Saccharomyces cerevisiae S288C: one gene and its partner. The gene in region 2 interacts genetically with the main gene of each other region. Each region holds a gene or a part of one and is shown on either strand. Other genes may lie near its edges.

Region 1 (5,539 bases), on a different chromosome or scaffold from region 2:
TTCAGAAACTCGAAGTATGCCTGCTTCTTCTGGCCTAGAAACTCCAGTGACCGCGAAAGATATAATTATCTCTGAAGAAATCCAGAATAACGAATGCGTCTATGCTTTGAGTTCCCAGGACGAGCCTATCCGTCCTTTATCGAATTTAGTGGAACTTATGGAGAAAGAACAATTAAAGAACATGAATAATACTGAGGTTTCGAATCTTGTCGTCAACGGTAAACTGCCATTATATTCCTTAGAGAAAAAATTAGAGGACACAACTCGTGCGGTTTTAGTTAGGAGAAAGGCACTTTCAACTTTGGCTGAATCGCCAATTTTAGTTTCCGAAAAATTGCCCTTCAGAAATTATGATTATGATCGCGTTTTTGGAGCTTGCTGTGAAAATGTCATCGGCTATATGCCAATACCAGTTGGTGTAATTGGTCCATTAATTATTGATGGAACATCTTATCACATACCAATGGCAACCACGGAAGGTTGTTTAGTGGCTTCAGCTATGCGTGGTTGCAAAGCCATCAATGCTGGTGGTGGTGCAACAACTGTTTTAACCAAAGATGGTATGACTAGAGGCCCAGTCGTTCGTTTCCCTACTTTAATAAGATCTGGTGCCTGCAAGATATGGTTAGACTCGGAAGAGGGACAAAATTCAATTAAAAAAGCTTTTAATTCTACATCAAGGTTTGCACGTTTGCAACATATTCAAACCTGTCTAGCAGGCGATTTGCTTTTTATGAGATTTCGGACAACTACCGGTGACGCAATGGGTATGAACATGATATCGAAAGGTGTCGAATACTCTTTGAAACAAATGGTAGAAGAATATGGTTGGGAAGATATGGAAGTTGTCTCCGTATCTGGTAACTATTGTACTGATAAGAAACCTGCCGCAATCAATTGGATTGAAGGTCGTGGTAAAAGTGTCGTAGCTGAAGCTACTATTCCTGGTGATGTCGTAAAAAGTGTTTTAAAGAGCGATGTTTCCGCTTTAGTTGAATTAAATATATCCAAGAACTTGGTTGGATCCGCAATGGCTGGATCTGTTGGTGGTTTCAACGCGCACGCAGCTAATTTGGTCACTGCACTTTTCTTGGCATTAGGCCAAGATCCTGCGCAGAACGTCGAAAGTTCCAACTGTATAACTTTGATGAAGGAAGTTGATGGTGATTTAAGGATCTCTGTTTCCATGCCATCTATTGAAGTTGGTACGATTGGCGGGGGTACTGTTCTGGAGCCTCAGGGCGCCATGCTTGATCTTCTCGGCGTTCGTGGTCCTCACCCCACTGAACCTGGAGCAAATGCTAGGCAATTAGCTAGAATAATCGCGTGTGCTGTCTTGGCTGGTGAACTGTCTCTGTGCTCCGCACTTGCTGCCGGTCACCTGGTACAAAGCCATATGACTCACAACCGTAAAACAAACAAAGCCAATGAACTGCCACAACCAAGTAACAAAGGGCCCCCCTGTAAAACCTCAGCATTATTATAACTCTTGTAGTTTACATGGTGATACTTTATATCTTTGTATTGTCTAGCTATTCTAAATCATCTGCATGTAATAAGAAGTTGATCAAAATGACTCGCTGCGTAAAACCTCTCTTCGATCGGAGGTGCCGCCTAATTTATCGCCTAGCACTGCGCTTTTTCAAAGTTTTTCAGAGCAAAAAATGAAAAGTAATGAGCACAACAATAGAAGAGTATCATGATATATAAGGTCATAAAACTAGGTTTCAGGGGCTATCGGCAATTTGAGGAACCTTCAACCTGCCTCAAGTAAAAATCGCTTCGTAACATTAATACAAATTCTTTTTGCAATTATGGAAGGAAGATCAGATTTTGTGGCGACTTCACAGTCCGGAAGTGAAATGAGCCATAGTGAAACTAGGAATAGAACTGGGATGAATGCTAGGAAAAGGAAATTCGCCTGTGTGGAATGTCGTCAGCAGAAGTCGAAATGTGATGCTCACGAAAGAGCACCGGAGCCATGCACTAAGTGTGCTAAAAAGAATGTCCCATGCATTTTAAAACGAGATTTCAGAAGAACTTATAAAAGAGCAAGGAACGAAGCCATTGAAAAAAGATTCAAGGAACTCACCAGAACTTTGACAAATTTAACTTCGGATGAAATTTTGAAGAAAATTGAAGAGGAACAGGAAATTGTTTTGGATAACAGTAATTTCACAAAAGAAAAAGTAAAACAACTCAGGAAGAGTGCTTTTGAGACGACAGAAATAGAACCGAGATCATACAAAACACTTCGAGGAGAACCTATTTCTTACAGTACCAACAGAAGACATACGGATTCTTCTCCTTTAACGCTCTTAAGCTCGTCGACAAACTTCGACCCTGTTCACTCAACAAACGTTATGACAGATGATCAACTTAAGTGCTTGCCAAAAAGCCTGGGCGACGTATATTTGTCAAGCAGCGATATTGCTGAGCTGTTTCAAGAATTTGCGACAAAATATCATCAATTTTTACCCGTCGTTGACCTTTCGAAAGGAGCAGAGCGAATTTATCACTTATCTCCTTGCTTATTCTGGGTCATCCTGCTCATTGGTTTAAGGCGGAAATTTGGGGCTACAGACTTAATGACTCGATTATCAGTGCTAGTAAAGTCAGTTTTATCAGAAATCACAATATCTCCAATAATTCGATATACTCCATCAGATAAGGACGAACCCGTTCTAAATGTAGCATCTGTATATTCCGTGCAAGCATTTCTTTTATACACGTTCTGGCCTCCCTTAACCTCTTCATTAAGCGCCGACACTTCGTGGAATACCATAGGAACAGCGATGTTCCAAGCGCTTCGGGTAGGACTAAATTGTGCAGGTTTTTCAAAAGAGTATGCTTCGGCAAATTCAGAATTAGTTAACGAGCAAATACGAACTTGGATTTGCTGCAATGTTGTATCTCAAACAGTTGCATCATCATTTGGTTTCCCAGCTTATGTTTCATTTGATTATTTAGTAATCAGCTCTATTAGAGTACCAAATTCAAAAAGCCAAGTAGATATACCCAATGAACTAAGACAAATGGCTCAAATTGCTAGATTTGAGAACCAAATCGTAAACACAATGAACTCCACCCCGGCGAGTGTTACTGGGATGGTAAGTCAGGAAGAGAAGCAGCCCTTGTTACACGTTCTTAATCAACAACTAAGTCAATTGGAGATTAGTCTTGAAGAAAATAACCTAGATGATATCCGAAAATTTTTATTACTAGTGGCCAAGGTTCACTTATTAACCTATTACTTCACTGATGTTACCTCCCAAAGTGCTGGAAAATCAAATGGTAATATTTATGAGGGATCATATTCCATTATGGAACTCGATACAAGTTTTGAAACGAAACGTGGATTGGTGAAAGTTTATAATGCCGCCGTAAACTTTCTTATACATGCCAATAGTATGTGGGAACATGATCCTACCATTATTAAGTACTTTCCTGGTTTGTTTGTCTTGAATATATGGCAATCTGCCTGTATTATTAGTAAACTCATACATTCATCACTTCATTCAATGCTAGATGTTAACTCAGGCAAAAAAGCTTATAACAACGCAATTTCATTGACGTTTAATGCCTCAGTTTTAAAATATGATATGGCGTACAGATCATCCGGAATAATGCGAAGCATATGGAGTTTATTTGCTAATATGTATGATGCCTGGAAAAACGACCAAAAGGAAGGTGGAGGTAGACTAAATAATGATTTCAATTTAGGCATCACCATAAAATCTAGGATGTCAGTAAACGTTTTTTTTGACTGCTTATATATTCTAAAAGAGAAATGTGGTATGGCCAAATTGGAGAGAGAGACCAAGGTTTCTACAGCTTACAATGTTGATGAAGAGGAAGAGGAAGATGAAGATGAGGAGGGAGAAGAAGAAGAAGAAGAAGAAGAACTAAGTAGTAAAGTTCCAGAAAATATGGATAGCCAGCAACTAAGGACAAGGAAATTCACCAATGTAAGGCATCCAGAAAAGAAAGCAAGAAAAATAATTGAAACAATTCCGCTAGACCCAAATCCAATAAATGCAGGCTCTACCAGCAGTGGAAGCTCATTAACGACCCCAAATAGTCAAGTAGCGAACACTATATCATATAGAGGAATCCTCAATAAAATGTCACCTAGGGAACAACTGAATCATGCAAATTTAGATTCCAGTGTTTCTACAGACATCAAGGACACTGAAGCTGTCAATGAACCTCTGCCAATAGGGAGGAATGCTGAACATCCGGCAAATCAACCGCCTCTTTCAATAACACAAATGCAAGAAAACACACTACCTGCGACACAAGCCAACTCTTCTCTATTAGAAACGTATCCCATTGTTCAATCAAACCCCGTTACAACTACAATCAAAGAATCACCCAATTCCATCATGGCAGGTTGGGATAACTGGGAATCTGATATGGTTTGGAGGGATGTTGATATTTTAATGAATGAATTTGCGTTCAATCCCAAGGTTTAAAGTCCTTTTCTTTTTTTGCGTAATGTTTACTTACCCTCGAAAAAATGTTATGTAATGACTGCGGTGCTACAGGAGAGGTAAATGATTTTCTATATACGTTTATATTTCTTCCATTTACGCACACTATTTTTTGTCCTTGAATAATTTAACTCAAAAAAAGTGTAAAAAACTGTGTCATTAGGTATATGTTCAATACTTTTGATCTTCAAATGACGTAAAAAAAAGTTTTCAGACGGACTTAAACCGCCAACCAGCCTTGGCCACAGGTGTATGATGCGAAGATTCGTAAGCGCTCACGTTAGTCACATCTCAGGATTGGAAATTATACTAGATAATAAATGGCTTTATTTAATCATATTATAGTTGATATAACAAATCACACCTCCGCTTAATTTATACGTAATAGTATTTACAGTCCTTATGGGTATCAAGACATATTAGGTTAGGAGAACTAAAGAAAAAAAAAAGGACTGTTTGTGCAATTGTACCTGAAGATGAGTAAGACTCTCAATGAAATTAGCACTTTTCTTGGATTTCTATTAAAGCGCTAGCATCTTTGTATACGTCTGACTGGGTAAATTTTTGAAAGGAATCGTTATTCATCAGTCTATACATTTCATTGCTAACGATCTCGAAGAGGGGATATAATTTCCTGAGGACCTTCAAAGTTGCTGGAAATGATTCAACCGATTTGGTATCATTTTGGGTGTTGTCCATGCCATAACGAACAATTGTATGTGAATTTTCTACTGATGCATTAGGCGAATGCGTTTCTGCCAGAGTTAACGGGGCAGGTTTATATTCCTTTAACTGATGTTTGAATCCTTGCTTCTTAAATGAACAGTTTTCATTTGAAAGATTTTTTGAAGGTTTTAGACTCACTTCAGGTGGTTCACCTAACGTGTCAGCCTCCGTTGAGCTAATTGATGAAGCTGCTGATTCCGCGGATGCAGGTGATGGATCGTATAGATTAGTAGGAAAGTGTTCCGATAATGGAGAATGAGGGTGCAACATGATGTCAGAAATATTCTGACGCAAGTTATGATGGATATTTAATTGATATG
Region 2 (4,572 bases):
AGATTTTATGAATGCGTTCCATCATCTATTTACTACAAAACGATAAATTTCCCCGTTTTCTTTTACTTTTACTTCATTTAATATAATTCATATTTATTTCCCATGTACCAATTAATTACTCATAAAAAGAACAGAAATAGAAAAAAGTTGTATATAACAAGCCAAAAAAAAGAAAAAAAAAGGAAAAAAAAGAAAACACAGCTTATTTCAAATTGCAATCTGCGTATTTCGTAAGTAACGAATGATCTCACAGCATTGCTTTTTTTTTTTTTTATATATATATGTACATTACCTATGTCACATATGACCATGATGAATACAACACTAAAAACCAAGGCCTACTATTCAATTGTTCTCTATATGATTTCCATTCTAGCAAAATCGAGTGCTACCGACCTGCCGTTTTCTTTACCTTTCGAACCATTGAGCTGTTAGCCTTCTCTTCACAGAAACTGAAAGTCATTAAAAGCCTCCCCTTCAACAATTCCCTTGTCTTTTGTTTCAGCTATATAATGCGTTTATAGCTCTAATTGTGGTCGAATAGGAAGAATTTGCGTTAACACCCGTAACTAGCTTTCCATCTGTAATAGAGTAGTCATCCCAGGGATGGATTGGCGCCAAGTACTTGGCTCCATTCTTGTTTGCAACGCGTTCAACCGTTGTCAATTTTCTGCTCCTCAAGATGTCGTCAACTCCCAGGGCGATTTCACCCTCGAGTGGGAAACCTGTTATAGCTTTGCCTTCGATTAATGGTCTTGTTGTTTTGATATCTATTAATCCATCGAAAAGGAGCGGTCCATGACAGATGGCAGCGATCACACCCCCATTGGCATATATCTTGGATGCAATATCTTGCAGATTTTTAGCTTTGGGATAGTCAAATAGAGCACCATGTCCAGCAGATGCAAAGAATACTTTATAGTCGCTGGCGTTGACTTCATTTGCGGTCTTGATCCTCGCTAACGCCTTATTGAAGGCGGAATTTTTCGTTTCAAAGTTCATCTTATCTTCGCCACCAATAAAGCTCTTTGGCAAGTAATGTTCATCCCAGCCAAATCCACCAGTCTCAGAAACGAAGTCCACTTCGAAACCATGCTTTTCGAATGTATCGAACGATCGCAAAATCTCAACTACAAAAACGCCTGTTTTCGCACCATCTTTGTAGAAGGGACCGTGGTATGAAGTAAGAGATATTAGCGCTCTTTTTGGAGTCATTGCAAGGCCAGTTTTCTTTTTGAATGAAGGAGAAAAGTGTTCTAGAAATATGTTTTAGTTCTAAGTATCGTTGTCTGGAGCAAGCAAAGAAAAGCAGACCTGTATGTGCAACTTTCCTGTTTTCCATTAAAATCTCAAGAACCGACCCCTTGACTGTGCTCATATATCAAGTATCGGTTTTAAAGTCCCCTAATTGTGATAATTGCAAGAACGACAGTCAGAAAGATATTTTTTTTTTTCTTTCTCTTTACCTATCCTCCATAAAAATACCTATGCTGATACTGAATATCTTCATTTGCAGCTATGCAATATTTCAGATACCCCATTTTACCCAAGAGTTTCTTACTGGTGGTTGGATTTTCTTTAAGACGAGAAGATTACCAGTCCTGGATGTTCGTGAATGTGCCTATTGCGTCATCAGCGACTCCGCGCCAAGAAAAGAAATACTCGCATGCTCGGATTTATAGAATCGCATAATGGAAATACCTTCCTTAAAGGATGGAGATAAGGAAAAAATGACAAGAACAAGGAAGTACTTGGGAGCTTTCTCCGACATGGTAAATATTTGAAACTCACGCAGCTCTCCTGGAAAGTTGGATCTGGAAAGGTAAGGTTGTTTTTTTTACAGACATCAACCAAAATCGGTTCTTGTAGTAGACAATGTCACAGATCGCCACAAGTTGAAAAAAAAGTTTCGATGAACTGGATAAGGGGAGAGGTCACAAACAAAGTGTAGGGGGTGAGTAGTATAGTGGTAACTTGTTCATTTACCTAAATAACATTCTCACTAGAAAAGAGATATTGAAAGACTCCTCGTTTACCTAACTTGGCTGGTTCTTAGGTATATAATAGAAACATGGATCTGGCAGGTTATCACTTACAGTTTGCACTCCCACCAGGTTACAATTTTCATTATATATAGTTATTTTTTACCACCACTTCTTCTTCTTTCACTTTGTCTTGCAATAGAAATACCAAAACAAGGTGAGGAAAAAATCGAATCTCAACGATAAAAATATGTCCATCACGAAGGTACATGCTAGAACGGTGTATGATTCTCGCGGCAATCCGACTGTTGAGGTTGAAATTACAACAGAGAATGGTCTCTTCAGAGCGATCGTCCCATCTGGTGCCTCCACCGGCATTCACGAAGCTGTTGAACTTAGAGACGGGAACAAGTCCGAATGGATGGGAAAAGGGGTGACCAAGGCAGTCAGTAACGTCAATAGTATCATAGGGCCTGCTTTAATCAAGTCCGAATTATGTGTAACCAATCAGAAGGGCATAGACGAGCTCATGATATCGTTAGACGGAACTTCTAACAAGTCAAGGTTGGGCGCCAATGCTATCCTTGGTGTTTCCTTGTGCGTTGCTCGAGCTGCTGCCGCACAAAAGGGAATTACTCTCTACAAGTATATAGCCGAGTTAGCGGATGCTAGACAGGACCCCTTTGTTATTCCTGTTCCTTTTTTCAATGTTTTGAATGGTGGAGCCCACGCCGGTGGCTCTTTAGCTATGCAAGAATTCAAGATCGCGCCAGTCGGGGCTCAGAGCTTTGCAGAAGCCATGAGGATGGGTTCGGAAGTTTACCATCATTTGAAGATATTGGCGAAGGAGCAATATGGACCTTCCGCTGGAAATGTTGGTGACGAGGGTGGAGTTGCCCCCGATATTGACACTGCCGAAGACGCCTTGGACATGATTGTGGAAGCCATTAACATATGCGGTTACGAGGGTAGAGTGAAAGTAGGAATCGATAGTGCTCCTTCTGTTTTTTATAAGGACGGGAAATACGACCTAAATTTCAAGGAACCGAACTCTGACCCATCTCACTGGCTCAGTCCAGCCCAGTTAGCAGAATATTACCATTCATTGCTAAAGAAATACCCAATCATTTCCCTGGAAGATCCCTACGCCGAAGATGATTGGTCCTCGTGGTCTGCCTTCCTAAAGACTGTCAATGTTCAGATTATTGCAGATGACCTGACATGCACCAACAAGACCAGGATCGCCCGTGCTATAGAGGAGAAATGTGCGAATACTCTGTTGCTGAAACTCAACCAGATCGGTACTCTGACTGAGTCTATTGAAGCCGCCAATCAGGCTTTCGATGCTGGATGGGGTGTAATGATATCGCATAGATCAGGTGAAACCGAAGATCCGTTTATCGCTGATTTGGTCGTTGGTTTAAGATGTGGTCAAATTAAATCGGGCGCTTTGTCGAGATCAGAAAGACTGGCCAAGTATAATGAACTTTTGCGTATCGAAGAGGAACTGGGGGACGATTGTATATATGCTGGTCATAGGTTTCATGATGGAAACAAACTATAAAGGATTGTCTTGTTTCCTTTTTTTTTTTTTTTTTTTTGTTTTTTTATGACTAAATAAAGTAAATCATATGAGGTTTTATTTTTTATTTCGTTGATTTGGGTTACAGTATGGAAATGGGGCATTTGACACAAGTTATTTTATTCATATGTTTTATCTTGTAGGAAATCAAACCGTTTTTAAAGTTTTCCATTGCCTACACACAAAATCATTACGAATCTGTCTGAACAAGGGTGGACGTGTGGGGGAAGGCTGTTCCAATCAAGAAATGCTTACAACTCTACTAACACTGCAGTTTTTCAGCTTTCTGATTAATCTCTTCGGTTTAAATTTTTTAGCAGCTATTACTTTCTAGTAACCCTTATAACGCGGTTGGTATCAAATCTTCCTGATAGTACAAGCAGACCTTTGACCCCATTCTTGTTGTGTCTTGAAATCTTTTTTTCTGACAAAAGTAAGAAGTTACACCATAATAGAGAAGTTAAATAATGAAAGTGTATCGATCATAGAAATGATTTTATTTTTTTCAACTACTGTTACGGTCAAGAAACTAATACTGAGGATAAGTTTTCGCAACAATGATTTTGGTACAAGTGATTTAAAGTCTTGAATTACTTCAACACAATTTGCTTTGCGACGGTTTAGAATAACGTAATCGTATCAACGAATCCACTAGGCGCGCGTAAAAATTACAGACTCTAACAATATACGACTCCCAGCACATACCTACTATTCTGTACAATTCCGGGAAATAGGAGGGTACAGTATTATTTTTTCTCGGCGATCGTTTAGGGTATACTGGAGATAGGCTTAGCAATACGCTTCTGAACGAGGATCTATAGCAACTAAATTCAGACATTCTGCTATACCAAAAAAGGAAGTATCACAGGCACGGAAAAGGGTTTTATAAGGCACCTCGGCACCCCTATAACTGGCATTCTCACATTCGGCGCATACGAATAGACAAAGGCCCCAGAAAACAATACCTTCGCATACAGAATCTATAAAGATGCATGCCTCGTTTAAAAA

The links. Genes that interact genetically often act in the same process or in processes that back each other up.
Region 1: mutations in ERR1 (region 2) and LEU3 together harm fitness more than expected from each alone (negative genetic interaction), as found in Saccharomyces cerevisiae (2 studies listed by BioGRID).

The regions. Positions count from the first base shown.
Region 1 is NC_001144.5:1,034,279-1,039,817, forward strand, and holds LEU3 (leucine-responsive transcriptional regulator LEU3), read left to right. Parts: upstream 1-1,814; coding exon 1,815-4,475; downstream 4,476-5,539. Other genes in the region: hydroxymethylglutaryl-CoA reductase (NADPH) HMG2, read left to right, coding at 1-1,486; GTPase-activating protein SST2, read right to left, coding at 4,992-5,539. UniProt on the Saccharomyces cerevisiae protein: Factor for control of RNA levels of a group of leucine-specific genes.
Region 2 is NC_001147.6:1,078,044-1,082,615, forward strand, and holds ERR1 (phosphopyruvate hydratase ERR1), read left to right. Parts: upstream 1-2,232; coding exon 2,233-3,546; downstream 3,547-4,572. Other genes in the region: HSP33 (glutathione-independent methylglyoxalase family protein), read right to left, coding at 502-1,215.